4 linked regions of the Rattus norvegicus genome follow. The protein of the gene in region 3 purifies or fractionates together with the protein of the main gene of each other region. This does not show direct contact. Links are inferred from orthologs where the notes say so. Each region holds a gene or a part of one and is shown on either strand. Other genes may lie near its edges. The genes, in order: Sh2d4a, Ppp1cc, Ppp1r7 and Ubxn2a.

Region 1 (8,148 bases), on a different chromosome or scaffold from region 3:
TGTCAAACCTTCGGGCTCTGTGTTTGTCCATGGCATGCATGTATGTACAAATAGGTGTGTCACGGGGGACAATCTCAGGTGTTAGCTGTGGCCCTCCACCTTCTTTGAGACAAGATTTCTCTTTCGCTTGTTCAGCCGTGTGTAGACCAATCATGCAGGTGACTAGAAAGCTCTGGGGTATCTCCTGTCTCCATCTCTCCTCTCACCACAGAGGCACTGGGATGAGGCTTTAATGCAGATTCTCGTGCTTTATTTACCCACTGATCCACCTTCCCAGACCCAAACTCATACACTTTTATCAATAGAAAGAAGTATTATATATGCATGTATGTGTATGCATGCAGTCTATCCACAATATATATTCTTTATATATTCTGGAGAAAAGAGATTTAATTTGTTTCAAATGTCATAGGACAACACAAGTCTTCCTAGGATAGCCATGTCTTCAGGCTCATCTATGTTGTAAAAGTCAACTACAATGTCTACGCCTATAATGCTTCCAAAATCTTGCCTCTGTCCGTGCTCACTCAAATACCTTGATTTCCCATAGAAAGCAATACACACTTAAACTTGAGAACAGTTACCGGGCAACATCCTGACTATTGTAGTCTTGACTCTCCCTGCCTCTTCCTGTCTTTCTGAGTCTTAATCCTTTCTCTTTCCCTCCCTCCTCCGTTTCCTTGTAAAGCAGCCTCTTGAACAACAGTCCTTTGAGACAGCGCACTCAGTAGTCAGGTACCACAGGACATCTCAGCATTTGGATTCACTACTCATTGCATAGCAGGGCCCTGCAGGTTCCTACCCGCACCCTATTTTCTTCCACACCATTTTTATGGAGTTCAAATGGAGCACGATATTAAGAGGAATGTTAAACAGTGTTAAAATTAGTATCTTGACTGTAACTCAGACAGGCATATCCCTCCCATGGCCCCTAGTTAAGCTTCCATATTGCCTTGGGATGGTCTTCAAAGGGTTATACAGTGAAGAGTCAATGTCTTGTGGTATTTTGGTTCTAGCACAGTCTCAGGGAATACAGCAAACCAAGTCCACTCAAAAGGAAGGGTTTACGGAAGACATTCTTCTCCCACAGGAAGAATCTGGTTCTTTGGCACATGTGACTTCAAGGTCCTGAGGTAAACGAGTAAAGTAAACAAAGCAAATGACTCCCTGAAATTCCAGGAATCATCCAGAAATGATTCCATGGCTGCAGTGGTTGACGCCCATTGAAGAGCACAGACACACACACACACACACACACACACACACACACACACACACACACACACGCCCAGCTGATGGGGTCTACACCTTCTACTCTCGCCCCCCTTCTGTCCAGTGAATATTCTTGAAGGATCAGAGAGAACTGAAAATTAACTCCCTCAAAGAGCCAAGGGCACATTCCTCCAGGAATGATTTGGCTCCAGGCGCTCTCTGATAACAGAACGGACACTTAACTGTTTCCTGCACTACCATAAGCACTCAGCAAGAGTTAAGTCCCTCACTCCTTCCACTGTAGTGCCAAGAGGAACTGAGGAAGACAGTGAGGGGGAAGCACAGCAGTTACTGTATCCACTGCACAGACTGGCTGCTACAAGTTTACTCCTGAGTCCAGAATCAGGAAGTGATTGGTGCCACTTTGAAATTTTCCGGACAAAGATCAGAAAATGTCCTTGGGAAGAGAACTTTAAAACTGGAGATACCTCAGCTAGTGCGGAAGCCTACGGTAATCAAGTGTAGATAAGCTTAGAGAGGCCACAGAAGAAAATACACCATCCAGGAAGGAGCACAGAGTTGCTACCCGCATTGGTCCAGTGGTGACTTTGTCTTCCTCTTACTCTCCACTTGCCTTGTTCCACCAACATTCCCTTCCCTGGTACTCCAGTAAAGAGGTGCGCAACTCTCTTCTTTGTTCTGCTTTGCTTCGGGTAGCTTGTGTAACATAGACTTCAAGCATCAAGGTTGGTTGGCATGTTTTGTTTTGTGGTCTGAGGATTAAACCTGACCCTTGCACATGCCAAGCAAATTCTCCGCTGCTGAGCTGCACCCCCAGCCCCCTTTACTTTATGTTTTGAGATGGAGTCTAAATTGTCCAGGCCAGTTTTTAATATAACCTAGCCTAAACAGGCTTTTGACTTTCCACACTGGCTGTCTTTATTTCTCAAATAATTGGGATTATATAGACCCTAACCACCAGGGCCAGTTTAATCCCTTTTGAAGAAAATACCGTGGTTCCTGGTGGCCTCAGGGAATACAAAAGAAACCCAGCTAACAAGTGCCTGTGGCTGTTGACTATGGGCACCGAACTGGACTGCTGATTGGCTCTGAGTGATGTCAGTTAACCAGCTCTCCAAGGCTTTCCTAGAGCAGACCACAGCACAGCTACAGACAGGTTCACCAGCTTAGATTCCCGGTTCTGCCTCCAGTGACCCATGACTTTGGAAGGTCACTTCACATCTTTAGACCCTGTTTCTTAATCCATAAAACTAACCTGAGGATCATTGTAGCTCTTGGATCCTGAGATAAAATCTGCCTTGAAGCTATTGAGACAAGTACAGGAAATGAAAAGGAGGAAGTGAACCTGCCAGGGGTTTTCCTACTTTCACGTTACCGGACAATCACTGTTTGGTGATGTGTGGGTCTCATACTGAGTGCAGTCACTCGTGGTCCAACACAGAGTACAGCCCAGTTAACTTGTTTTTCCTCTCCTGTGGCATTTTTCTTGAAAAAGACAACTAGCAGGGAACAAGCCCATACCTGTCACTCACTCTAAAAATTTCTGAAGAGTCCAAAATTTAGTTAAGTTCTCAGGATACCTGTAGATCTTGTCTGACTTTCACACTTTCCACTTTTCCTCACAATTGTTTTTAATTAATACAGAGCCTAATAAATAATAACAATAATGATAATAATTAAACTCTGGGTACAACTACCTTCATTAAAATATTTCTGTATTTACAGTACATATATCCCTAAAGGTAAGAACTTAGTTTGCGTTCTCTGTTGTCAGGCTTTGAATTGCTCAATATTTTTCTTATTAATTTACATGATGATTTTGGAAACAAAATGAATTGCAAGTGGTGAGAGGAGCTGGAAGTTTTGTAAATACTCTCAAGATTGAAGTATTTCATAGATAGATATTCCTAGAAAAGCCTATTTGTGCTAAATCTTCGCCTAAGTATTTCTTCCACTTATTATTAAATAAGAAAAATTATAAATACATTGTTTCTTTACACAAGCAAGAGGCTGTCATCCCTGCTTCTCTGGGACCATAGCAAAGAGAGACATTGAGAAAACCTATAAACACTGAGTGCCTCCACCTAGGGCCCATGAACCCCTTAAGGCAGGAACGGTTGGTAATGGCTCACTTTTGTTGAGGAAAATTCTGGCTAGGCTGATTCTAGATTGAGCCTTGACCCAGAACCACAGAGAGACGACGAGCCCGCTGCTCTCTGTACCACGTGAGGGCGCCCGCGGGAGCGCGGGGAACTTACTAATGGAGTTCTGCTTGTGCTGAAACCGGTTTCAGGACTCTTGTCTGGAAGGTCTCCGGGCCAGGAGACCACATGGCACTGCCCAGTGATTGGACCTCCGCTGATTTGTGGGTACTGTAGCCGACACCCAGCACCCTCTTCGTGGCTCAGACCCTCGCAGGTGGCCCCCGCTGTGCACCTGCCCCAGGCCAGTTAGCACTCGCCGCGTGTGCATGCACAGCCCGGACGGGACAACTTTCCTGAAAGACTCCAAGTCGCCTCCGATTCTCCTCCCTCTGGAGACTCTTAGTATAATGATCACAAGCCCTCTGTTCTTGGGGCCGCCACTCACCTGGACCCGGCTGCAGACACTGGACACCCTACACGAGACATCGGACACCCGCAGCCGTTGTGGTCTGTTCCTCTGGGCACCTGAGCTCGCCCTGAGCGCCGTGGAGGAGGGACCGGAGGGACAGGTGAGCAGCCTGGCCGCGGGAACCAGGGTCTCTTCCTCTCCCTGTCCTCTGTGCTTCACCCTTCGCTCTAGAGACGCATCTCCTGGTTCCCACTCCTCGCTCACCCTTCTGCCTGGCTCTATGCTCCAGCGTTTTACCCGACCCGGTCACCTACCTGCTCAGGACCCGGGGCAAGGTGGTCCAAGCACCCGCCGCCACCTCCAGATTGCCTACAGCAACTCCAGGAAGAGAAGGGAGGACAAGCAGAGAGACCCAGCCGCGCAGAGACCCAGCCGCGCGGGCTGTCTGGACAAACACTCGGGCCCAGAAGGACACTCGGCGTCCAGATCACAGCCCTGGCCCGCCCCGCCGCGCCCACATGCTGGGGTGACTGACTGGGCGCTCCCTCAAGGCCCCTCCCGGGTGCTGGAGGCGCTCCAGGGCCAGTAGGCAAGGCTTGGCTGCCTTGGTCCAGTGACAGCAAGGCCACTAGTCCTTGGCTAATCTAGAGTGCTGTCTACAGTCTGGGGTAGTTTGCCCTGACACCTCAGGGGGGGTCTGTGGGACTTACTAATTACAATTGTCCACACTTGACTTGTTAGGTGGAGCCTGCAATGGCAGGCAGGCAGGGTCCATCTGGGAACCTGGGTCCTGCAGCCAAGTTGGCTGCAGTTCTGTGACTGCGTTTCTACAGCTTACTTTTTCCTTCTCTTTTGTTGACATTAAGTAAATTATCAAACTCTGAAGCATTTGTTACTCCAGGTGTGGCTTAAGGCATGTTCAAGGAAGAGAAAGACTGGAATGTTGCAGGCTCTAGGGAAAGGGGCAGCCAGGGAGAGAAACCTGAGGGGAAAAAAGGTAGAAGTTCCCTGTGATCAGGACCAGGGTGGCACAGGGCACTGCTGAAGCCTAAGCTTATCTGGGAGGGGAGAAAGCTGAACAGAGTGGAAAAGTGGAACAGCCTTTTCCACAGGCGAGGAACCTTGGGCATGTGTGGAAGAAAACAGGGCTGGGGGTGTGTATGAGTGGGGGTGGGGAGGGATGACACAGGAGTTCAGACTGGGGAGATTGGAGAGCACTGTTATAAACAAGAAACATGGTGTGACTTTATACACCCTATCCAATCGATTTAGGAGCCTGACGTGCTGAACCCAAACGTTGTTTACCGTAGGCTTTCGCAACCACAGAAAACTTTTTAAAATTAGACATTTTATTTATTTACATTTAAAATACTATCTTCCTTCCTGGTTTCCCCTCTGCAAATCCCCTATTGCATGCCCCCTTACCCTGCTTCTATGAAGGTGTTCCCCTACCCACCTACCCACCTACCCACTCCAGCCTCACCACCCTAGCATTCCTCTACACTGGGGCATTGAGCCTTCACAGGCTCCTATTGATGCCAGATAAGGCCCCTTCAGCTCCTTCAGTCCCTCCCCTAACTCCTCCAGAAAAACTCTTAAGTTGGAAAACATTACAGGCAGGAGTTACACCCTCCACTCTGAGGAAACAAGACTTAGCCATTTAGGAATGGTGCTTGTGATACACTCAGGCAAGGATTCCTGGCTTAAAGCTTTCTCTCCACAGCACTGAATCAGGTGGCCAGATGAGGTGCTTTAGAATGGTTTGTCCTCTGCCTAGCAGCAGTATCTGCTCAGCAGGTGTCCTCACACTCCCTGGAAGCTAAGAAGCTGTACAAGTGGGCCATCAGCCACCTCATAAGCCCATGGGACACTGATGCTATCATTGGGTGCCCTCCTCCCTACTCATTCTGTCTCCAAGTCCTGACAAGCCCTTCTCGATAACAACTCCCCACCCCCACCCCCTTACATTAGCCTTACAGTTTCCCATTCAGGATAGCAGCCGTGCCTGGCTGCTTGGTTCTCTAGTGAGCCTTAAGTGAGATACTGCATGCAAAGTGCTCAGTGCATGGCTGGCTCTAATATGTTTGAATATTTACTGCGTGCCAAAGACTATTGAATGGATAGAGGCTCTTTGCACAAAGTGTTTAGAACCGTTTCTGGCATGTAATATTCAAACACAGTAGGTCATATTATTCCACATCGTATACTGTAATTGCATGTTCCTACCATCTTATAGCATGGCTATGAATTTTTGTCTCCTATCTTACCTGGATGGAGGCTGTCCCCAATCATCCTTGTTAAAGTGTGGAGGCCACTGCTGGACCAGATATTGGTCTGTGTGCTCAGTAGAACACAGCCGAAGTGGTGGTACACTGTTTCCCAGAATAGTGTGTGGTAGCAGCAAAGATTTGTTATCCCAGCACTCGGGATGCCGAAATAGAAAGACAGCAATCCAAGACCGTTGTGAGCTACTTAGTTTCAGGCCAACCTGTATTCATAGTGAGAACATATCTAAAAACAATGAGAAAGGAAAGTCTGTAGCTCTGTCCTGTCTGTAGCTCTGTCTCCTCCCTGCCATCCCTACTCCTTCCCGCTCTGTCTCCCACACCCTTGAAACATTCATGCTGAGAGATAAGAAGTTCCATATCAAGTGATCCTTTGGAGAGATCCACCCAGAGAGGCCAAAAAATGAAGGCCAAGCCCACACAGACTAAATGGGAGGTCCTCAGCTGTCGTCAAGCAGTGTAACTACAATACTGGCATGTAGCTTCACTGAAAATCCATGATATTCCTCAGTTAAGACACTCTCAAATTCCTCATCTGTACACTTAAAGACAGGCCATTTGTACTGTAAGTTAGCAATTTGGAGGTAGTTTCTTACACAGAAATAGATAACCAATGCACCCTCTTAGTAAGCTAAATTTAATTAGTATGCATGTATCGAAAATGACCCTTACGACTTATTTAAACACTGAAATAGCTTATGTAAATTCCGAGCCTAGGCCTCAGCCCAGAGCTAAGAAATAGAACATTGCAGAGTCGTGGCACCTGCATGTCAAACAAGTACTTCAGGCGATCCTGTCAAAAGAGAGGGGGTGGATCCTTCTCTCAGAGTCTGTACCACAGGCTGTCCAGGCTGTGAATGAAGCTGTTATTTCTTTTCAGTAAATAATCCATCCACCATTCAGTTGTTGAAACATTTTCGACGCTCGCCCTCTTTCCTGCCCAAAGAATGAAGGCCTAACTGCTGGCCAACTTTCTGCAACCAGGATAATCTAACGCTGAGCTTTTTCGGCCGTATCGCCTTGCTGCCAGATACCCTACCTCCATGTAATCTGTTGCGTTCCAACCCTTAAACCTACAACCTCTGCAGCCTCACACTGGGTCCATTGTCTAAAACCTTACTCCACCGCTCACTTGGGAAGAAATTCACCTCCCCTGAGCTATCAGCTTTTAGGATATTTCTTTGCCCGCCTCTCATCCTGCCACATAGAAAGCAGTCTTTATTGTACCCACTAAGATAAAATTTAGCAACTAACACACTTGGGAGACATTTCATGGACACCTGGTAGAAGCTAGGCCATGTGGTGACACCTGAAGGACAGCATAGTCCGTGGCTTGGGTCTTTGATACTATGGCACTGACACATAGAGTATTTATGTACAGATTTCAGGTATGTGAAACCAGGGATGTCATCAATGCTGTAAGGGCCAATGTCTAGGGTAGGCATTGGTCCACAAACTGTACAAACATGGTTTACTCAACTGGACTCTCACTGCCCGCCTTTATCCCACGAGCCCCTTTCCTGTGCTTTTAACCATCTCTCCTGTGTGGCATTTGCATTGGTTAAAGAACCTCTCCACTCAGGACCAAGTACAGTGCACAGCACAGCATGGGTGTAACTGTGTGGAGGTCAGACACAGTTTATAATATGGAAGGCAATGCCTGGAGTTGTGCAAAGCAGACACCCTGTTGCTTCCAGGGAGATAAGAAATGCCTCTCTGTGGCTGGGGAGATGGCTCAGTGGTTAAGAGCACTGACTGCTAGAGACCCTGAGTTCAAATCCCAGCAACCATATGGTGGCTTACAATCATCTGCAATGAGATCTGATGCCCTCTTCTGATGTGTCTGAAGATAACTACAGTGTACTTACATATAATAAATAAATAAATCTTTAAAAAAAGAAAAAGTCATTGTTCTAAATTAAATAAGTTGTATATGTTCTCCAGGAAGTGAAAGTTACCTTTTCTTTATAAAACACATTATTAATAAGCACCAACAATATTTTCTTGTCATATTGTATTATCAGAATTTAAAATCTACACAAGGTTTGTGGACTCTTTAAGAGGTGAGTTATGTTTG
Region 2 (7,490 bases), on a different chromosome or scaffold from region 3:
GGGGGCCTACCTGCCCACCTCCAGCCCTGTGCTCCTCACCACCCAGACATTCCCTGACATCTTCAGGAGCAGCCCTTTGCCTTCTTCCTTCCAACCCATCCTACACAGGCTCAAGAGTCCACTCCCACGTCCCCCAAGCTAACCCGACAGCCCTATGATACTCAGCCAGCTCTTACCTACCAGCAGGTAGAGGCTAGGTGTGCCATCAGTCACCTGGGCTGGCCCCAACTGGGAGCCGGGCTCTGCTTCCTTCTCTCTGAACCCAGTCCTTTCTTCCTGGACTAGCACTTTTCCCTGCCCCCCAGTTTCACCTGTTACACAGATGTATGCTGTTCATGGAATGGGGGGTATGTGTGCTACACATGTATGGTACATTTGCATGTTTGCTGTGAACATGAACAGAATGGCACTGTCTCAGACAAGTTTCTACAGGTTTTGACATTTACTACTTCAACATCTAGGGACAACTATGACCTCCCTCTGTGCCTTTTTATGTTGGTGTCAGGAAGACTTGCTACAGTGAGCTCAGAGGAGCTCAGGTAGGTCTAACTCAGCAGGGACGCCCATACCCTCACAACTATGACTTGCCAGGGCTGTGGCTCTGCCACTCACCCAGCTGGAGAGCCAGAAGCTGAGAGAAAGGGGCTCCCTGGGTTACAGCATGCGGAGAGATAGAGGAGGGAGACTATCAACGCCACGTTGTCTTCTCTGCTCAGGATGCCGTGACGGAATGCCAACCACCACTGTGGGCTGACGCCCTTCGTGGCCTCTGACCTAATCAATGGCTCAGATTTCTCTTCCTCCCTCGAAGTTTACAGAACCTCAGGTTCAAGCTGAAGGAAGCGTGCTGGAAGGGGAGTGCCTAGGAAGACAGCCCCCTCCTTCCAGGCCACACAGCTATGAGCCAAGCCCCTCCCAAACCACGTGCATATAGAAAGACAGAAATGGACTCAGTGGCCGATGACAGACAGACATACACGGACAGGTTAACAAGCTCGCATTTAATAAGTCTGAAATCATTCTTAGCACATGGCATTGTACACGGGCATCTGTGGAAACAGATTCATTTTAACAGGTCGTAGTTTAAAAAAGTCATAGATACTGTGAGTTCTGTATAAACCGGTGGACGGCAAGTTAGTTCCTTTTGATTTATAAGCCTCAATGTCACCGCAGAATAAAGAATGTAGCCAAAGAAAGCATTATCGATCACTCGTATAGGACAGTGTTGTTTCTATAATTTGAAGCTTTCTGAATGGACGGGTTCAGGCCTGATCCAACTGTAAAAAGATTACTCAGTGAATAGACTATATGGGCACTGTACAATGTCTCATTAACTTCCACCATTAATAGCTTACCCAGCACTACATCACTATTGCTAGTTAAAATAACCTGCTTCTTTCTGAGTCCCCACGGAGGCGGCCTGTGCACGCAGCCTTGGTGCCCTGGCCACCTCATGTCCAGGGTGTGCCAATACAGTCCAACAGAAACTTTGGCTTTAGGAAGGAATCACAGACATTGAAAAGAATGGCTTTAATCGTCAGTTAAGTGTGCAGTGGGAGGGAGTGTGCTTCAGACAGCCTGGGCAGTGTGGGTGGCAGGGTGGCAGGTTGCTCCTGCTGCCACAGCTGCAGACACTAGTTTGTACAGGATGAGACAGTGAGGGAAAGCAGTCCCTGTCAAACAAACTTGGAAAAACTGTTCACAGTGGTTTGTATCAACAGAATGCATTTATGACAATTACATGTACAGACTCACGCACCCTAGGGCTCTCTTTATATCCTAAAGAAAACAAGCATTTACATTATTCATGATTCATACTAAATTTAAAAAAAAAGATCAATTGTACACTTTCCCCTCGGACAGGATAAACTGCCAAGGTGTACAGCTTAACACCATCATCAGAGCTGTCCACAAAGGGAACAGAGGTTAAAAACAAACAAAACAAACCGCTTTCTTGAGAATGAAATGCTTCACTTGCTGCTATAACCAGCAAGTGCCAGCAATAATCAAAATGGAGAAGGGAGGGCCCGACAGGTCTACCTGGGCAAGCTGACCAGCACACATCACAGTTTAAAAAGGAAGGTTATGTACGCTATGTTACAAGTCCCACTAGGCAGTGTCAAGTGACATCTATTTCTTTGCTTGCTTTGTGATCATACCCCGTGGCGGTGTGACAGGTCTCGTGGCATTGGGCTTCTTTTTCTCTGCAGGCTTTAAAATCTGAGAAGAGGAAAGAACCAAGAACCTTAGGAGCCATACCTGGACCTCAGCCTTGTTCAGAGCTCCCATCCCGAGGTTCTGTCTGATGCTGCCCCAGTGCTGAAAGCCCCTCTAGGACAACACTGACCCAACCGGCACCTGGGCACCGTAGCGGAGACTCGCCTGATGCACAGGCAGAACGTGTGACCTGGACAACAGTGTCTGCCTGGACAACGTGACAAACTCAAGCCTACAACTTCCCTCAGCCTTGAAGCTCCGTGGAAGGCACTGAGGTTTGCAGTCTCTGGGGACTGCTGAGGCCTGCCCTGGGACTGCCACGGCTGCACTAACATTTTCAACTGTGTGAGCAGTGGATCAAGCCCGCTCACTCTGGGGAGGGAATGTGAGAACCGGAGCACAAGCAGACATGTTGGCACCTGAGAGGCAGAGGCAATGACTCTCTATTGCATTCAAGGCCAACCTGGTCTACAGGTGGGTCCCAGGACAGCCAGGGCCACTCCAACTCCCTCCTCTCAACAAAAGCACTGACTAAAGCTACAACACATTGCTTGTTTTCACACACTAAGAATTCAATTACACTAAGTCAATGCTGGGAAAACGGCCCTGTTTCCTTTCTTAAGAATTCTTGAGCCCACACATTACTCCTATGGGACAAATGTGCTACTAAAGAAGAATGGGCAGCTTGCTCAGGAAACAACAGGAAGAACTTCCTCGGGAGGTCAGCAAAGCTGCTGCAGTCTCACCTGGAAGGAGCACATGAGGGTCTCATCCACACTCATCATGGCGCCCGCATTGTCAAACTCGCCACAGTAGTTGGGTGCAGAAAACAGAGTGACTAACTGCCTCTTTGCAAAAAACTCATATCCATCTTCAACCACCTGTGGAGAGACAGCGTCAGTGTGAGCAGCTGGAAGCCTGAGCCGCTCCATTCTCCTTCCCCACTGAGCTTGGCCTCCTGCGGCTCTCCCCAGAGGCACACTGTGTGGCAAGCCATACCTACCCACCAAAATCAACAAGGAGAATCTGCTCACACACATGCTCTAAGTGTACATGTAAAATTCAAAATCAATACCTGATGGGCTCTACATATAAGATCCAAATCATGCTTATGGAGAAATTTTGCAACCACTTCTGCACCAAATGTGAAGGACACTCCTCTGTCATTTTCACCCCAGCCTAAGACATCTTTATCGGGGTCAGACCACAAAAGATCACAAAGAAGACCTTGATCTGGTACATCAGTTGGTCTCATAATTCGCCGAATCTGCTCCATAGATTGAAGATCTGGTGATAAACCTATTCAACGAGAAAGGAAAACCCCTAAAGCACAAACGGCATGGGCACGAGCATGCGGCCAGCCCCTCCTGCTGCAGAGGCTGGTGCTGCCTCGCTGCGCTGCCGTGACATCTGTGGGTTTTTTACTTGGTTTTAGGGGAAATAATTCAGGAAATGTACTGTACTGATGTTGATGTGCAGGGCAGAGACACTACTCACCTCAACACAGAGCCCTGTAACACCCAGCCACTGCATCCACACTTCTCCCAACAGAAGGCAGCAAGGAAAACACACAGGGCAGGCACCACCCTGACCAACTGCAGTGGCTGGGCACAGGGACAACGCGTCCAGATGTGAGGCAGCTCCCATCTGTTGTCTGAGCAGCCAGAGTCCCTTTCTCTTTGTGCCCATCCACCAGAGCGGGGACCACACCACACACACTCTATGGTTCTTAGATAGCTGCTTCATTTCTAGTGCCACCCCCTTTACTACCACACAGCACAGCCATGGAGCCATGCTTTGGAAAGACCCCGCCCCCACCCCCCAGAAGGGTTCAGGCAACACACGGCTGAGCAGATGCACCAGGGCTCGTTCTGTATTTAAGGTCACAGTCGATTCCCAACCTAGAACCCATTTCCCTCGGCTTGACCCACATGACCTGGCTGTGTCACTGTGAACAGGCCTTAGTGCAACAGTGGCCCAGCCAAAGCCATCATGCCCAGTTGACTTTCCAGAAGCAGGGGAAGCTGCACAGGTGAAAGAGCCACATACCTCCATGACAGCAGAATATCTTCTCGTCCACGATGGCTGCTATCGGTAAGCAGTTAAAACAGTCTGTGAACGTTTTCCACAGCTTAATGTTGTATCTTCTCTTACCTGTGAGAATGCAGACGGTCACCCCACTGTTCTTCACACCTTTCAAGTAACTCAAACATGCTGGTCCCCACAGGCCCTACAGCCTCAGGGGTCTAGGACACAGGACTCATCTAGAAGCAACCAAAATACGTTCCCATAGAGTTCTAGACAGGGGCACACCTCAGTTTGCCACAATTAGTGGGCAGTGCCCAATCTATTTGAAGTCTCATTTGTTCTGTCTAATCTTGACCTTGAGGAAACTTGTGACTTCTGAAGGCAACCGCCACCAAATCCTCAAGGTCCGTCACCTCTTTCTTCCTGCAGGGGCCTGAGCTCTGAAGCTTCCTGCAACCAGACAGAAGCCCCACTCCAACTCCAGGAGGTCCAAGTGTTCAGTCCTAACATACAGTCTGCACTCAGTACACTCCCTTGAGCACCAGGGCTATAACAGGGTGTCAGAATGTGTCCCCTTTAAAACCACTGTATAAAAATTACTGTTTGGGGGTTGGGGATTTAGCTCAGTGGTAGAGCGCTTGCCTAGGAAGTGCAAGGCCCTGGGTTCGGTCCCCAGCTCCGAAAAAAAGAACAAAAAAAAAAAAAAAATTACTGTTTGAGTCACAACTCACTCATAAGCCATAGCAACTACCAAATTCTCTTTAATTGGTCAAGGACTGTGCATGCTGGGGAGCCTCTGTCTCCTGGGCCACCCCACACTCACGTACCACCATGTTGTGTTTGTCCCTACACTAAGACTCTATCTTCTTTACCGGAGGATACAGGGCCATCTAAAGGCCTAGACTACTCCTTGGAGAGCAACAGCCTTCTTAAGCCGTGCCTTTCAAGCTGGGCAGACCTGACCCCCACCCCCACAAGCACTCAGATCATCATTCCCTGTAAAAGCTTGCATTTCAGCTCTGAGGAGGTCACAGATTCCCTGGATAATTCTGGAAACTTAAATGAACAGAGCCAACAACCTCCAATTACCAATAGCTAATGGTAATAACATCAATGCGGAAACTGAGGCCAGACGGCCTTGACTCCATTCCAAAGTCCATCTGGTCCTGTCCCATTCTCTGCTGACAGTGTCTGGACAATCACTCATGCCTTTCTTCCCTGAGGGCTGGATTAAGGCTCTGTGTGTGAGCTGAGAAGACTCCATGTTGACTACCCAAGCTCCCTGCCGCAGTCTAGGACACATGGGCAGCCCTAACTATAAGCTCCTGCATGTGTGTACATTAGCAAGTGCTAAGCCAACGAACTCGTAAGCACCTGCCATCCCAGCCCAAACCCTTTCCCGGCAGAAACAGCCCGGAGGACAATGCAGCCAAAGTCTCAAAACTTGTGACATTTTATGTTTATGTGAAGTAACACAAGCTCTCCACCAAGCCACTTCGTTCTTTCCACACCAACTTCTTTCTAAGGCTTTGGAAGCGTTTTTCTCGATGATGAACTCAGAGCACAGCTTCACTAGATAATCCAGGGCTGTGTGGGGTGGGTGGCTGACACCCCCACCCCAGGTCAGGAAGCTACAACTGGGACCAAGGCTAAGGTCAACACGGGCTACTCAGCAAGAACATTTCAGAAAAAAAGTAACGTGAGATGACCCCAAATATGAGAATATGCACAAAGTATTATTTTAAAAATAAAACTCGGGGGAGAGATGGCTCAGCGGTTAAGAGCACTGACTGCTCCCCCAGAGGTCCTGAATTCAATTCCCAGCAACCACACGGTGACTCACAACCATCTGTAATGGGATCCGATGCCCTCTTCTGGTGACATCACATACATGAAATAAATCTTAAAAAAAAAAAACAACAACAAAAAAAAAACCGTGGATGGATGGATGGGTGGATGGATGGCAGGCAAAGCTGGGGAACGGTGCAGTAGCGGAGGAGGTAGGATGCTCGAGGTGCCAGCGTGGCAGCCCCAGTCAAGGTGGAGACAGCACGAGAGAGACTCCGGCTCCTCCATCCTTGCATTCAACACCAAAGACAGACTCGAAATGAAAATGTAGGCTTTAAAGCATCTCTTTCTCCATTATGCTTATCCCAGAAAAGTTGATGTCCCTTTCCTAAATATAGCTGCACTACAGGAAAACCACACCGTCCATTTCAAAAACAAATCGTTTCATTGCAGGATCCCACCCACAGACAAGGCTGGGCAGAGCAGACCAGCACTCCCTGCGGCTGTGGCCCTGTTCTCAATTCCCAGGCCACTGACCCGCAGGCTTCCAACAGATGTGCTATCTGGAACCAATCTAATCAGAGCTGTGAAAAGCAGAGCAAATGGAGCCAACAGGTTCTCGGAACTGCACTAAGAGCATGTGCGCCACCAAGACTCTTCCCCTCCAACCCCATCAGCACCCATGCAGGCAGCAGTCCCTAAAACCAGGACATGAGCAGGAGTGCCGCAGCAGCTCTGACTCTCATAGGCCTGCCGCCCACTGCCTTCCAGCCCCTCCTCCTCAGAGGCAAAGTACTTACACTCATCATAAAATCCGTAGATTCTATTGATGCTGGCACACTCATGGTTCCCTCTAAGAAGAAAAAAGTTCTCCGGATACTTGATTTTGTAGGCCAGCAAGAGGCAGATCGTCTCTAGTGACTGTTTGCCCCTGTCCACATAGTCCCCGAGAAACAAATAGTTGCTTTCTGGAGGAAAGCCACCGTATTCAAACAGACGGAGCAAATCATAGTACTGCCCGTGGATGTCACCTGGAGATGAGAACATCAGTGTCACCGTCCGCACTACTGAACCCATGGACAGAACCTTGGCAAGACACCTTTCAAACATTCACTCCATACACAAACATTCACAATGGCTGCTAACAAGTGCACAGCCAACACTAATTTCCCAGCTGGTAGCATATTTAGTTCAACTGACCATGTTAAATGCACAGGTCCAGAGCTTCCCCCCAGACACAACTCATTAATTTATTGTGTGGTAAAGAGTATCTTGTCTGACCTGCTTCCTGCCAAGTACTGTGGTTCCCTCTGAGATCACTGAGACCTCAGCTCAGCTTCAGGGACTTATGTCAGCACATCCTCTGTGAGTGTTCAGCGACTGGCCCCTTCACAATGCTTGCATTCAAGACACCACCTTGGCCAAGGCCTTTCAACTTCTGCGAGGTCAAAGCCAAG
Region 3 (8,073 bases):
TTTGATCTTTTCTCTCTCTCTTCCCCTCTCTTTCCCTCTTTCCTCTATTTCCTTGACCTTCTTACCACTACTATTTTCCCTCATCCCCGTGTTTCCTGTTTCTTTCCTAGAGCAAACAGACACTTGCATCTGCAGTGGAGCCAGCACACGCCCTCGACACATCACACGTCCTTACACATCAGCCCATGGCTCCTCCAAACATTAGCATACTATGTGCTGGTCAGCTTGCTTCTTCGTTGCAGGTCTCAGAGAGGAATATGCACAGGGAACCAGCTTAACAAAGAACTGGCCCCACAAGGCTGAATTAACTTCACTGACTTTCCACGATGTCTTTTTTACAACAATCAACAGTACCCAATTAAAATATGTTGTTTTCTATAGTTTACCCATAATTTATAGGATACCGACCAACCTAGTGTTAAATAAAAGGAACTAGATAAAACCAAGAAGGCATTACAAGAGTCCTCTTATTCTCAAAAGACAGCAGTAGCTCACTGTCTGCAAGCTCAGTTGTTGAAAGAGAGGCATTACAATGAAGGCAAGGAGGCCAGGTCACTGCCATCCAAGTCAGATACTGTAAGACTAAACGTAGTCACAATTGGCAGTGGCACTGAGCCGGAAGATGGGACTGGGGCTATCCTAGGCCCTTAGAATATGTGGTTCACAGCCCCAAGTTTCCTGTTGAAATACCAGGTTAATCCAGAACAAGGTTATCAACGGGAACTTCTGAATGTATCAAAGTTGTGTTTTAGACTGAGTTTGGGGACATAACACAGCTGTTTCAGGTCTTGAATTCAAGCCCTAGCAATAAAAAACAAATAAAATTGGTGTTGGGGGTAGGTGGGTAGGGGGACAGCTTAGTTAGTGAAGTGTTTATGCAAGCACAGGACCCGAGTTTGAGCTGTGGAACCCACAGAAAACACTGAGCAAGGTGGTGCACTTGTAATCCCAGCACCAGAGAGGACGGAGCATGCTGGTTTGCTGCAGTCAGCTCAGCCTAAATAGCAATTTCCAGACCAGTGAGAGCCAAGGCCAACGGTGCCCGAGGAACAACCTCTGACACTGCCTTTTGCCATTTGCATGCACACATACTCATATACATGCCTGCACACACATACACTTCACTGATGTTAACAAGTACACACATACACACAAGGTTAATACAGGGAGGTAATGACTGACATATTTAAACATGTTTTGCTGAAACTTAGGGAAAAAAAATTATGAGCAGTCCCAGTTTCTCTGAGGACTAGAAATTCATGTTCCCAGAGAATTACTACATGTTCTATCATCTGGAGGTAAGCAAGCTGGACTGTAAGCACGCTGGGCTCTAGCCCAATCAGCCTGCCTTGCAGTAGGGCTCTCTTGCTGGCACTGGGCGTTTATTCTCCTCATCTTTCACACATTAGAGTCTTCTTACAATGAGTGTCCCATCACAATAACATTATTAGCCAGGAAACAGAGCCCAGGATCATACTGTTCTATGCTCCAAGTCTTTTAGGGTTGCCTAATATTTCAGTGGCACAGACCTCAGCCCTTCAGTGACTGTCAAATGGTGACAGAGCCCGTTTGCTTTATCCACCCACATCACCTCCAGACATCAGCTCCGAAGTTCCAAACTAACTGTGGTAGGTACTTTTGTGGTAATCTCCTTTTGCCTTAAAATTTGGTTACCATAGTTACCAATCATCTTTGCTGGCACACAGTGCACAATGCTATTTTAAAAAGTAGCTATGTTTCTTCAAATTTATTTTTATAAAGGTAATGCATAATTATGAATACCTGATAAATCCACACAGATCTGGAAAATGTAAGAGGCAGAGTTTCCCCTCAAGCCTGCTGCTAAAAGAGATCCTCAATGCTAATGGCGTTTTCTTTTTAAGCAGGTAAAACTAAACACTCATTTTTAATTAAATACCATATTTTTTGAACTTAACAATTCAGCTCGTACAGTTTTCTGTGTTCATGTCTTCTCTATTCTTTTCCACGAAAACTAATTTTCTACGCAAACACTTAAGCATGGGTCACTGCTGAGGAGGTCATAAAACCACCAGAGGAAGCTGTTCATTCCAGATGAAGTGACTTCCTATCCAACATCTGTGCTGTGACAGGGGACGCTCAGACCAGTTCCAGATGGAGTGACTTCCTATCCTAACACCTGTGCTGCGACAGGGGACGCTCAGACCATACAAATGAAGTGACTTCCTATCCAACATCTGTGCTGCGACAGGGGACGCTCAGACCATATAAATGTTGAGGTGGATGTGGTCATGGTGGCACACACCCTTAATCCTAGCACTCAGGGGCAGAGGCAGATAGATTTCTGAGTTGGAGGCCTGACTGGTCCACATAATTATTTCAAGACCAATCAGGGTTAGACAGTGAGACCCTGTCTCAGAGAAGAAATGTTGAAGTTGGATTAGAAATGATTCCTTGTCACTGCGGCAGGATACAGAAGCAGAGTACTACTCGGCCATGCTCTCTTCAAATTGTTATTCTGAGGAAAGGGTTAAAAAGTCACTTTCTGGCTCTGTTCTAGGTGACACATCATCAGTACTGGAACTGTCCCTTCAGCAGAAATGGATCCACTGTACTCATAAATCTAACTCCGTCATTTGCTGAGGCAGCCCTCTGCCAGCATCCCCACTTGCCCAATCTATGGGGACCCTTTGAGGAAAACCACTACTGCCGTGAGGAGACACCGTGTACAAAGAGCAGTATTCTTCAACAGCACCCTTGCCCTGCTGGGTGAGTTCAAAGTAACTAAACCCAGTACCTTCCGGATCTTCTGCGCCCCGTTCTACCCCATCCTTCAGGCTCTGCTGGCTGAGGTCTGCCACGATGCCACCGCCATGCTTCTTCCCTTCCTCATCACCTGATTCTTCAGATTCAACACGCCTGTCAACTGAACCCACACATCAGTGACAATTCACATCTACTTCATGTGACAATTTGAGGAACACAAAAGAGATTAACAACAGTTGTAAGTCAGCAAGCCTTTTTTCTAAAATAGCTGAACTCATTTTATGAACATTTGAATGTCTTCCACATCCAATAATATTTAAGATACAGGGACAGAAACTGGGAGGTCACATGAAGACAATTAATATGTCATTCTTCCCCTCTAAGAGCTTGTCAAGAATTGACAAGTGTTCTGAAATCTGGATCATCTACGATTGGGAACACTATTGACACCAGGTACTGAAGTTCCTTCCAGGCGGCTCTCATATCTGACGTTATGTCCACCACAAGAGGAACCCTTCTGCCACATACCCTCATTGATGTCTCACTATCCATTTGGCCAAGAAAACTGGTTCAATTTTCAGGCCCCACATTCCAAAAGAAATCAAGACCAAGGGTTGGGGGTTTAGCTCAGCGGTAGAGCGCAAGGCCCGGGGTTCGGCCCCCAGCTCCGAAAAAAAGAAAAAAGAAAAAAAAAAAAAAAAAAAAAAAAGAAATCAAGACCAGCTAAAATCAGACAGTGGGCAGAATGAATGAAAATGAGATGGTCTCAAAAACGCCAGATGCTCCCAGCAAACTGCTGGTGTTAAACCACCACAGGGCAGAGTTAACAATGCAAAGTGTTTTTGGAGTAAATAAACAGATTTCGAGTTATGAACAAAGCAGCAATGAGATGTGGCTTTGGCAAATGATCATCCTTTCTAAACCTTGATATTCATCTCTGTAGAAGAGTTAGTAGAGTACCCTCCCCTTTCAGGACCAAATGAGAAAGGGCACAACAGTAGTAGCTCATGCCTATGGCATGTAGGAGAATTTATGAGTTACCAAGAGGACATCCTGTGATCTGGGGTTAGGGAAATGAGGCTCTGTACCTCCCTCAGGAGGAGCCAGAGGATAGAAGGGAGAGTGGGTGCACCCTGTGCCTGTATCCTCAGGGCAGTAGAAAGCTTCCAGAGCCTGAGATAATGTGCAAGAATGTGACTGTGAGGCTCTGGGTATAACAGGCTAGCAAAAAGGCAATGAACTCTATCAAGAGGAGGAAGGCTTGAGTAAAGGTTAGCAGTGATAGAGAAGGTGGCAAAACATGCTCTGCCTGGTCCGCACAGGCCGTCTTTAAAAACAAAACAAAACAACAACAAGGCCAAACCAAACCAGGCTCTCAAACCAAACCAAACAACACTCCCACCCTCCGAATCTCCAAAAAGACATAGGGCCATAGAAACCTAAGTACCAGCTGGTAATGACATGTGTGGGAGTGGAAGAGAGGAAAAGCTTGGCTTTTGTATTTGCCCTTTACTGAGGAGGGAGGGGAGAGGTGTACTGGAGGAGGGAAGAGGGGGACAGAAGAAGCATTTCCTCACTTAAGAAAGAGTCAAAGGTTAGAAACAAAAGACCTCTAGGATGACTCCCTTCAAGTCTCTCTAAGAACTTCTCTGGGCAGCCTTGCTGGCTCTCCTTACTCCCCATTGCATGACTTTATTTAGGTCATGTTTCCATACGCCTTTGCTTTTGACTGGGTTTCCTTTCTCTGGAATGATACTGGTCTTCCCCATGTGACCCCAGGCTGGGTGACGTCTAGTCATTTTTCAGGGCCCATCTCAGAAAGGGATCACTGCTCTCAAACTCACCGCTCTTCTCTTCCACATCCCTGTCCCTTGCTCTGCAACTCTCTTTCCTAGCACTCTTCCCCGAAAAGTGAGTGATCTTCCAGAAGTGAGCGATCCTCACCGAAGTAGAGGAGTCTTTCAAAGGCTTTTAAGATTCGCCTAATGCTACAGCAGGTGGGGCAAGTACATGTACATATGTACAAGTCTGTGTGAATACATACACTCACATACATGCATGTAACGATCACGTATCTACACAACTGTATACAAAAGCATATACATGTGTTACATGTGTATTTACACATGTATACGATGACATAATCCAACACACTGAAGGAAGAAAGTTGAATATAGTCTTTTCGAGACTATAGAAAAATAAGACAACGCCTTGTAAAATCAATTTCCGGAGCTCTTTTTTACCCGACCCTCTGCCACAACCCATTCGCTTCCAGAGCAGACTCTTTTCCATCCATGCCGCGTGAACAAACTGGACTTTACAGTCCCCACGCCTGAAGCCTCAGTTTCCCTGCCCCCTCGCCTGTCAATCTCGGAGCTTTAAGACCAGGTTCCTATAGCCACGGCTTTCTCGCCAATCCCCCTGGGCGGGCTCGCGCCACGTTGTTCCCCGGGGTATGGTCCTTCTGGCCGCTACCGCTCTCGGGCCGGGGTTCCCGTCTCCGAGCCTCCCCGGCACTGCCCAGCCATGTTGGCAGCTGTCAGAGCTTCGTGGCTGTGGCCGGAGGCCGAATTCCGATCCGACTAGAGGCCGTGCCCGCCCAGCCCCCAGCTCGCCGCTCCCGGGTCGCCCACAGGGGCCGCTCACCCTCCATCATCTCCTGCGACTGTTGCTGCCCCGCGCCGCGCTCCGCCGCCATATTGGCTGCTCTTCCCCTTTCCGGAATCTGTCGCCTCAGGCCATGGGCCAATCAGGATTCCAGGTCCAGTCGGCCAGCCAATGGAACAAAGTATAGAAGCGCGAGCTGACACGCTTGCGTGGTCGCAGTGTTTCATGGGAATTGTAGTTCCCCAGGGCCCGGCCCCCCCCGAGTTAGGGGTTTGATGAATGAGTGGAGTCTAGGCGAGCACGGCGAACGTAGACATCCCGGAAAGTCATCAGGCAGCATGGGAGACACTTCAAGCTTGCAGATTCGCTCAAGTCACTGTGCTGACTTCGGAGGCGTAAAGTTACTGAGGCCAGGAGAGCTCTACAGGCCAAAGGTAAAACAGAATAGACATGCCCCGACTTCCGGAGCCTCAATGCTGTGTGTCTGCACCGTGAGCAGGTAGGCGAGGGAGAACAGTTTATTCCGCGCCTGCGCGCTGATATATTGGCGCCAAGTGCTGCCTTTAGCGGATGCTTGGAGAAGGGGAGAGAGGCCACGGCTCGGTTTCGGGGGCGCGCGTTCGCCGCCTCCGGCCCACAGAGAACCACCTTATCGTCCGCTTCTGCTCATCGTCCTCGCCTTGAGAATGTGGCCGCCAAAAGGAGGGCTGCACGTCGCTCACCGTCCTCGGTTCCGCTGTAGGAGTGAACTGCAGTCACTTGGCGTGATAGGGGTGAGAGGGGGCCGGAGAAACCAGTTTCTTTTGGCTCCTCCGAGGCACTGTAGTGGACGTCCAGCGCGTCCCTAGCAACCGTTTGCGCGCGCTCAGCAGCTTGCTTTCACTGAGGCCCGCCCATCAAGGTGTCTGGTTGGTTCTTGACCCCTTGTTACTCTGCCTACGATTGGTCGGTGGGGCAGAAGCGCGCGGATCTTTACGGTGTGAATCCGGCTGAGAGTTGCGCCGGCCTCAGGTGAGACACCAGCTTTCTAAGGAGCCCCGGGTGGTTGCGTGGCTCAGTTCTGCGTCGAGGTGGAGTAGCCGTAACCTCGCACGCGCGCACTCCCTCCGCCGGGTCCGGTCCCCGGGGTGGTGGCGGGTTCCGGCCGTTTGACCCGCGCTCAGGAGCCGCCAGCGCCCGAAAGTCTCTGACTGAACTGGAAGCTTTGCTTTAAGGTTAGAGTAGCGGGCCAGTGAGCTCTGGGGAATTCACTTATCTTCACCCCCTAATGCTGGGACTGCAGTTACGTGCGGCCATGACTGGCTTTTTATGTGGTTAAAGATTTAAACTCAGGTCCTCACGTTTGCATTAGCAAGAGCTTCTAACAGAGGGAGCCACCCAGTTCCTATAATTACTTTCTTTTCTTTTCTTTTATTTTTTTCGGAGCTGGGGACTGAACCCAGGACCTTGCGCTTGCTAGGCAAGCCCTCTACCACTGAGCTAAATCCCCAACCCCCTGTAATTACTTTTAAGATAAAAATTTGTAGCATTAACAATTTAGTTTGAAGAATTTTTTAATATAAATTAAGATTTTATAACAGTATATTCTGAAGTTATACAAATTCTGAAAAAAAAAAAAAACAAAGGTAAGATTTTGTGACATTGGCAGTGTATTTAGAAGCCGTGATTAAATGTCCTAACCTTCTTTGTAGGGTGGTTTTAAAAATAGAAAAAAACCCAGTATGGTCGTATCACTGTTTGATGTAGCAGTTATTAGTGCATTTGGCTACCTAGAGAAGATGTACATCTGTGACATTAAAATGCTCTACATGAAAACTTCTATCTCCTACCCATCCTTATTTTGTTCAAGCCTGGTGGTGTCATATACAGCCTTGAACATTATGTAGCTAATCTTGTTTCGTAATGAGCTGTTGCTTTCTGGGATCACATATGGGGTGCATGTGCCCGTGTATGGAATGTGCAGAATACTAAAGGCAAAGAGTCATACCTCATCAGTCAGTGGTGGATGTGCCTAACAGGTGGCGAGCTATGGGTTTGATACCTAGCTTCACACAAAAATACCACCATCAGGCTGATGGTGTCTTCCCAGACTTCCAGTGCCTCTGGAGACCTTGCCTCAAACAAACAAAAAAAAGGAAACAAAGTCTTACAGTTTGAGCCCAGTATTATGAGTAGGCACTTGCTTCCAAGGTCTGACAATTTGGGACCCATGTGGTAAAAAGAAGTGACTCCTTAAAGTTGTTTTCTGCCCTCCACACATAGGTGTGTGTTCTCTCTCTCTCTCTCTCTCTCTCTCTCTCTCTCTCTCTCACATACACACACACACACACACACACACACACACACACACACACACACAGATGTATTAAAACAGTTAAAACAAACACATGTAAACCCACCTAACTAACTGAGGAAGTAGGAGACTGTCATTTTGCCTCCATATTAAGTGCTCTGCCAGACTCACGAGGACTGTCTGCCTGAAGCGTGAGTCTTCAGTCCTGTTGGACTCTTATCCTGTGTGTGTATATTTTTAAGCAGTGTATTTAGATTTTTCTCATATTAAAGGAATCTTGCTGCAGATAAACCTTTTGGATTTGAAGGTTTTCACCGCGTACTGCCAAGATTGGTTCTTGCACACAGTTCCTTTCTTCTTGATGAATATTTAAGGTATATTTTCTTTTTGACTCTCTTCCCTCTTTCTTCTCTCCTCTCTTCTTGCCT
Region 4 (7,490 bases), on a different chromosome or scaffold from region 3:
CTCTGAAAAAAAGAACCAAAAAAAAAAAAAAAATGAATTAATCCAGCTTCTGTAGTTCTTTCCCTTTGCTAGTCCCAAATAACAACACAGAGATACCAAGATTTATTTTAGGCGGGGCTGGGGATTTAGCTCAGTGGTAGAGCGCTTACCTAGGAAGCGCAAGGCCCTGGGTTCGGTCCCCAGCTCCGAAAAAAAGAACCAAAAAAAAAAAAAAAAAAAAGATTTATTTTAGGCATCCCCTTGATACCTAGGCAGTAAAATCTAAGCTAATCTGGCTACTTCCCAGCCATGCTCCCAAGTAATAGTTGCAATTAGGGCTTCCATTGTCCAGCTGAACTCTTAATAACTTTCTTCCTCCCTATGACTAGTCCCTCTCCCCCTCCCCCTCCTTGATAGATGTTCTGCCCTAGTCTCTCTTCTGCCCAGCCATTGGATGATTACAAACTTGAGACTTGAGATTCTCAGAATAAACATAACAAAGCCCTGTCCAGATGGAAATCAGATGTAAGGACAGAGAAATCAGCATTTGAATAACACAAAGATAACCTTTGCACAGTACACAAAAATTGGTTTTCAAGGCGGGATATCTAGCCCTGGAACTTGCTCTGCAGTCCGCGCTGGCCTGAAACTCATAGAGATCCCCTGGGATTAAGGTGTGCACCACCACTTCCAGCTTTACTGTCTTTTAATTTTCATGGCCATTTGTGGTGGCATTTGCATCTTGGCTTCTTCTCTGAGACCCTCTCACAGTAGCCCTGGCTGTCCTTGAATACTGTATGTACTCAAGGATCACTCTGAAATTCTGATCTTCCTGTCTTTATTATCAAAGTACTGGGATTCTAGTCATGCACCACCATGACCCAGGGCTTTGTGAGTGCTAGGCAAGAACTCTACCAACCAGCTACATCCCAACTCAGTATCTGCATCTAAGAGATGAGAAAACCAAATCATATACATTCTAGTTTCTTAGTGAGAGTTAGTTTTTCTTGTTGTAACTAAATAAAGGTATCTAAACATGAGCCACAGAGCCTGGATCTACTGCTAAATACCTATATTGACTAACGAGAAAATCATGGACTATCGTCTCACAGTGCAACTGTTTCTATGTGAGAAGGATCTCGTGCCATTGTTCTGGGAAGGTACAATAGTAATAATAATAGTGTGTACACACACACACACACACACACACACACACACACACACACACACACATGAAAGAATGATCTGGGGAGTAAAAAGAATCTAACTTAAAGCATTGCTGTGGGTATGAACCATCTCATCAGCCACAACACCTGCCATGTGTTTGTTTACTTGTTGAGCTAGGGTCTCAACTACTTCCCTGGTTAGCCTGGAATTCCTTTGTAGACCAGGCTGACCTGGAATTCACAGAAACCTGCTTGTCTCTGCAGAGAGTGCTGGGATTCACTATCACTTCCCTGCATACCTGGGTGATGGGGATCAAAACTCAGGTCCTCATGAGTGAGCTATGTCCAACTTAGCTATGTCCCCAACCCTGAGCACCAACATTTTAATAACAAGATTGATGACAATTTGAGAGACTGTCTGACACAGTGGTAAGAGCAGAAGACTTGCATAAGCAAATTACTTAGCCTTTTCCTCATCTGTTAAGATTAAAATAACACTTTCTAGGGCCGTTGTGAAGCCTGAATGAGTTGGCACATGTAAAGTACTTAGAATAGATCTTTATAGAGTATCGTGGGTAGAAGCACAGAAGAAAGGCAGATTAGCAGCAGAATGAATAAGTGTATTTTACAGTTCCTAACAGTGAGAGGTACAAAATGTTGATATTTCATCACTTCATACAAATCTTGTGCCTAACTTCCAAAAGCTCAGAATCTATTTCTTATAAGTAAAATCCTAGATAATGTTTTATATGATGAACTACAAATTCAAAATAAATAGCAACAAAAAGCCAAGTAGAATGGTACATGCTTATAATTCCAGTATTCAGGAGATAGAGACAGGAGAGTCAGAAATTCAAGGCCAGCCTCAGTTATATAGTTTGAGGCTAGCCTGGGCTACATGAGGTCAGTTTGAAAAGCAAATAGAAAAGAAAGTGTGCTTTTAAAGTGATCATTAGTGGAGAATATCCTTGTGAGTGTGCAAAGAAAGTGCCTAACCTGCCATGGTCTTGGTGGGGGCAGAGTGTCATGGTTCCAGTCCTTGGGACAGGGCCCAGGTATTAGCTTCCATGAGTGTTGATGGCTACTTTGGGTGTAAGGCTTGTTTGTATGATAATTTCTTTCATGTTCCTCTGAGGAATGTCTTCTCTGTTAACACTGATGACTCCATGATAATCAGAAACAGCTTGAGTCAGGGAGTCAAGGTGTGGCTAATGTTTTAGCAAAATGGTAAATGCTGGGACCTTCAGGACAGCCCTTAAGGCTGTGGCAAAGAAAACAGGAGTTTGAAAAATCTATAATTTCTCATTTATTCAAAAATATAAGGATGCAATATGAATTATGAGGAGCTTCACAAATCTAAATAAACAGGTAATTACACTATGAGCCAGCTTGTCAGAAAGATACAAAGACAGGCTGGTTCCTAAGTTCAAGGTCATTTTGAAACGCTAGGAGTCCAGGCCGAGGTGTGGTAAAAATGGTAATTTCAGGGCAGGGTCCCACCCAGTTATCTATCTTATCTGTCTGACTTATCCCTGAATTCTTGCAATGTTAGAGAAAACTTGCTTGCTGTCTCTTAAGAATCAAAGGACTGGGGTCACAGGTGCTGTTCATAGGATGGTCAAAAGGGAACCTGGGCTACATAACTGAATTGATATGGACATTAAAAACTGGCCTTTGGTCTGCATGAGTGCATGAGATAAGCTAGCAGAAAGCGAGTGAAGATTTTAGAATTTTTCTCTGGAGAGAGCTGAGCTGTCTGGAAATGTCTGGAGAGCAAAAACAGCTCTTCAGTAATTTTTTTCTAACAGGATTTCTGAGAGAGAGAGAGAGAGAGAGAGAGAGAGAGAGAGGGGAAATGTTTTGGGGGTGGAAAAGAGAGAGAGAGGAGAGAGAATGTGTGTGTGAGAGTGAGTGAGTTTGGGGATGGGATGGGGTGGGAAAAAAAAGCTGTTTTGAACCCTTCAGAAATAACATACTTGGTTTGACTGGGCATATACATTAACTATAGGGTTCTTGCTTAGCATTCATTAGGCCCTGCGCTCAGTCCCAGTACCATATAAGCCCAGCACTTGGTAGATGGAGGCAGTAGTAGTTCAAGGTTATCCTTGGCTACATAGAGAGTTTGAGTCTAGTCTGGGGCATATGAGACCCTCCCAAAAATAAAACATCTACTTTTTTGTGCTTTTGGACTTGTGTTAGACACTGTCTTAGTCAGGGTTTCTATTCCTGCACAAAACATCATGACCAAGAAGCAAATTAGGGCGGAAAAGGTTTATTCAGCTTACACATTCACACTGCTGTTCAACACCACTGGAACTCAAGCAGGTCAGGAAGCAGGAGCTGATGCAGAGGCCATGGAGGGTATTTCTTACTGGTTTGCTTTCCCTGGCTTGCTCAGCTTGCTCTCTTAAGGAACCCAAGACTCCCAGCCCAGGGATAGCACCACCCACAAGGGGCCCTCACATCCTTGATCGCTAATTGAGAAAATGCCTTACAGCTGGGTCTCATGAAGGCATTTTCTCAACTGAGACTCTTTTCTCTGTGATGACTTCAGCTTGTGTCAGGTTGACACATAAAACCAGCCAGTACAGACACATTTGGCATTTATAAAGATATTTTGGGCTATTATAGCACTTTAAGTGGAGATTCGTTAACAAATGTTACTTTCTACTGAGATCTTCCTTAAAAATGTGTTTCCAGAGATTTAATTATGTGTCTGTAGGAATGGTGCCCCTGTGTGCAGCTGCCTTCAGACACAGAGTAGAGCATCACGTCTGTGAGCTTTGTAACAGTTGTGGGCTGCCACGTGTAGGTCCTTTGGAAAAGCAGTATGTAACCCGCGAGCCATCTTTCTAACCTCCTATTGACCTCTTTGATGTGGTAAATGTGATAGCTCCCTTGTTGCCAAGTGACAGCCTGACTTTGACCCTGGGACACACGTGGTAGAAAGAGTAAACCAGTTCCCGTAACTCTCACAAGTTGTTCTCTGACTTCAAGTGCTTCCACACATGAGCACATTTACACACACTCATGAACATAAATACTTTAATAGTGAACATCTAGTTTGGGGGCTCTTAAATTAATTTTTAAGTTACTAAGTAGTGGGTTTATGGTGGCATTTTCATACATATGCATAACTGTATTTTGTTATCATTTGTGCCTTTCCACACTGTTTGATATCAGTACTGTATGGCCTGCTAGAGATCCTAAAATACAAAAGATACCTTCCACAGCAAAAGTTAGCCCTCCCCAAAGATTGATTAACTTAGAGCTAACAACACTTAATTTTTTTTTTCTTTTTTTAGGGTTTGTGAAACAGGACCTCCTGACAATCAACCCCTCAATGATAATCCACAAAAGGACTGTGAATATTTTGTTGACAGCCTTTTTGAGGAAGCAGAGAAGGCTGGTGCCAAATGCTTGTCCCCCACTGAACAGAAGAAACAGGTGAATATCTGATACTTATTGGCCTCTAGGAGGATCCCTGAAATCAAAACTACTTTTGTAATAGGAAAGCTATTTTTCACCCTTTTCCTCTTGTTAAATTCTCACAGGTGCCAGAAAGGCAATGGTAGGTAATGCTGCTGAAATCTGAGCAGGAATCAAAGCAGTCACTTCAAACTGACTTACAAATTATTGTGTTACTTGCTTGAATATACAAACCAAGTAATAAATGGTACTTTCATTTAAGAATATCTGTGATGAGCTAAGGATGTAGCTCAGCTGGTAAAATGCTTACATAGTAAACACAAAATCAATGCCAGCACAGCATAAACGGTGCAAAGTGGTCTGCATCTGTGATCCCTATGCTTGGGAGTCAGGAGAACTGAAGTGACAGGTTGTCCTCAGCGAGGTAATAAGTTCAAGGGTAGAATGGAAGGACGCTAGGGAGATGACTGTCAGAGACTGGTTGCCATGTAGACCTAAGCACGTGGACCTGAATCTGGACTCCCAGCTGCCACGTAAAAACTACAAGACTCATGTCCAGGGCTGGAGAAACAGGGACACAAGAGGATCCTTTTGGCTTGGTGGCTAGTCGTCTAGCTGAATTGGTGAACTTCAGGTTCAGTAAGAGATCCTGTCTCAAAAACTAGAGTGGGAAGTAGGGAGGGATGGCTCACTGAGTAAGGGCACCTGCGCCAGCCAGGTCCAAAAATCTGCAACCCACATGGTGGAGAGGACTGACTCCCTAGCTGTTCTCTGACCTATATACACATATGTACTCCAAATGTTTTGTTTTGTTTTAGATGTATTGTATGTGTTTGGGTGTTTCGTATGAATGTGTGCGTGTGTGTCTGCTCACAGAGAGTATGGGTTATCTGGGGACTAGATGTTTGGGAACCACCATGCAGGTACCAAGCCAGGCACTCTTCAAAATCAACAAGTACTCCTAACTGCTAAGCCAGTTTTACAGCCTGATTTTTTTTTTTTAATGTTAAAAAAAAGATAAGCTAGCAATTGAAGAAGACTCTGACATCAACTTCTGGCTTCCACATGCACACATGTATACGAGCTCATTAGACTTAGCAGGTGCTTTCACAGAACAATTAAGTAGGAAAATAACTTATGGTATTTGTTACAAATGCAAACGTTTTATTTAGTCAACTTTTAACTACAACAAGAATTTGAGGAAATTGCTATCATGCACTTGACAGCTTTTCAAACTTACAGTATTTCCCCATGAGGTTAGTGTTATTTTAGTAAATATAATATGTATCATAATGGACATCCATTAGCGTTTAGATTCACATGGCTTAGAGAACCACTATTTTCCAACTGACTAATTCATATGTTATTAAAAAGTCACGCATGAGCTCAGTGTGGTGGCACAGGCCTGTAAACACAGAACTTGGCCTAAGGTAGGAGGGTCTTAGAGTTCAAGGCCAACCTAAGCTATTTAGTGAGCTTTATACCAAGACCTTGTGTCAAGGGGGAAAAATTATGTATGAGTAAAAACTCCAACACATATAGTACAAAGGTGGAAGACTTTAAAGTAACAGGTATATGAAAAGACGGAGAGTGAATTCAGATTTCACATTCAGATTCTCAACTAACTTTGAGATAGTAACACTTATTAAACCTTGATGAACTCTCCATATCTAGGAAACATTTTAAAAATAACTTTGTAACTGCGTATCTATATAAGGTTTGATTCTTTTTTTTAAAAAAAGTATTTCAATTATAATACCAATTATAAGAATCCAACTGACTTTTTAAAGACCGACACTAAGAGGGTATGTGGAAAAACTCTAAGTTTTTTAAGAAAGGGTTTAGCCAAAGCTGGTCTTGAAGTATTCTGATCCTCCTTGCCTCTGCCTCCTGCACACAAGGATTGTAAGTATAAGTCAGTGTGGGTTGATGTCAGTATGTAGGTAAGGGCTGGCACCAGTTAGGTCAAGGCCATGATTAGACAGTAATAAAATAAGACAGGGACAAAGTTTTTGTAAGGCGCGAGAGAGGGAGAAGGAAAAAGAATCAAGATGGAGACTGAGAAAGATGACCCAGATCCAGGTGGTCTTGAATTGCCAAAGTAGTTGGTATGGGTTTCTGTAGGCAAATTTATCTTATCTAGGTGGGCGGTTTATATCTTTAACAATTGGTTGTAAGTTTATTGTGTGGATGCATTATGGATTGATAATTTAACATATAAACCTGATTGTTGATTGTTGGGTTATAGTTTGTTGAGTCATGATTTTACCAGGTAACTGGGACCAGAGAGTTCCTGGATGGCCAGGGTGACTAGCAATGAGAGTGGAGAAACCACTGGGGCTAGAAGATAACTAGGCTAATGTGGCATGGTGCCAACTGGAACCAGCATCACTGAAATAAATTAATGTTAGTTCTATATGGCCCTACAGTGTCAGAACTAATGCCAGGGAGTGACCGCCTGGGTCCAAGAGTACCAGGGGACCAGCATGGAGTAGTGACACACAAGAATCAGTCACGCCTATTTTTTATTTGTACCGAAACATGTCAGCATGTTTAGTTTTATACAGAGCTGGGGACCAAACCTAGCAATCATCCTATAGACTGTGCTACATTTCCAGGCCCTTTTAAAACTTAAGTTTTATCAAAGTAAGACTAGGGGGCTGGCAAAATGGCTTAGAGGGTTAAGATGCTTGCTGCCAAGCCTGATAATCTTGAGTTCAGATCCCTATATGCTAGGAGTGAACTGACTCCCACAAATTGTACTGACTTCCACAGCTCTATGACAGACAGCTCAGCAGGCAGGTGGAGGTGTTTGCTGCCTGCCTGATGACATGAGTTCAGTTTCAGGGACTCCCATGATAGATTGTTCTCTATGGTCAGGAGAATGGTCTACAGTAGCCATAGCAAGCATCAGAT

Evidence for each region.
Region 1: the proteins of Ppp1r7 (region 3) and Sh2d4a purify together in Homo sapiens (affinity purification with mass spectrometry; 3 studies listed by BioGRID and IntAct, counting the BioPlex papers as one, with this or other methods). This does not show direct contact. The link is inferred for Rattus norvegicus from reciprocal best matches to the Homo sapiens genes PPP1R7 and SH2D4A.
Region 2: the proteins of Ppp1r7 (region 3) and Ppp1cc purify together in Homo sapiens (affinity purification with mass spectrometry; 8 studies listed by BioGRID and IntAct, counting the BioPlex papers as one, with this or other methods). This does not show direct contact. The link is inferred for Rattus norvegicus from reciprocal best matches to the Homo sapiens genes PPP1R7 and PPP1CC.
Region 4: the proteins of Ppp1r7 (region 3) and Ubxn2a purify together in Homo sapiens (affinity purification with mass spectrometry; 3 studies listed by BioGRID and IntAct, counting the BioPlex papers as one, with this or other methods). This does not show direct contact. The link is inferred for Rattus norvegicus from reciprocal best matches to the Homo sapiens genes PPP1R7 and UBXN2A.

Annotation. Positions count from the first base shown.
Region 1 is NC_086034.1:26,171,833-26,179,980, forward strand, and holds the start of Sh2d4a (SH2 domain-containing protein 4A), read right to left. Parts: upstream 4,143-8,148; 5' UTR 4,101-4,142; intron 3,914-4,100; exon of another isoform or gene 3,823-3,913; intron 1-3,822. UniProt on the Homo sapiens protein: Inhibits estrogen-induced cell proliferation by competing with PLCG for binding to ESR1, blocking the effect of estrogen on PLCG and repressing estrogen-induced proliferation. May play a role in T-cell development and function.
Region 2 is NC_086030.1:40,042,842-40,050,331, forward strand, and holds the end of Ppp1cc (serine/threonine-protein phosphatase PP1-gamma catalytic subunit), read right to left. Parts: intron 7,065-7,490; coding exon 6,834-7,064; intron 4,372-6,833; coding exon 4,267-4,371; intron 3,517-4,266; coding exon 3,293-3,516; intron 3,099-3,292; coding exon 2,964-3,098; intron 2,221-2,963; coding exon 2,131-2,220; 3' UTR 1,278-2,130; coding exon of another isoform or gene 1,207-1,277; 3' UTR 981-1,206; downstream 1-980. UniProt on the Homo sapiens protein: Protein phosphatase that associates with over 200 regulatory proteins to form highly specific holoenzymes which dephosphorylate hundreds of biological targets.
Region 3 is NC_086027.1:101,330,929-101,339,001, reverse strand, and holds the start of Ppp1r7 (protein phosphatase 1 regulatory subunit 7), read right to left. Parts: upstream 5,506-8,073; 5' UTR 5,444-5,505; coding exon 5,392-5,443; intron 2,906-5,391; coding exon 2,777-2,905; intron 1-2,776. UniProt on the Homo sapiens protein: Regulatory subunit of protein phosphatase 1.
Region 4 is NC_086024.1:33,620,039-33,627,528, reverse strand, and holds part of Ubxn2a (UBX domain-containing protein 2A), read left to right. Parts: intron 1-4,450; coding exon 4,451-4,592; intron 4,593-7,490. UniProt on the Homo sapiens protein: Acts to repress the ubiquitination and subsequent endoplasmic reticulum-associated degradation of CHRNA3 by the STUB1-VCP-UBXN2A complex in cortical neurons.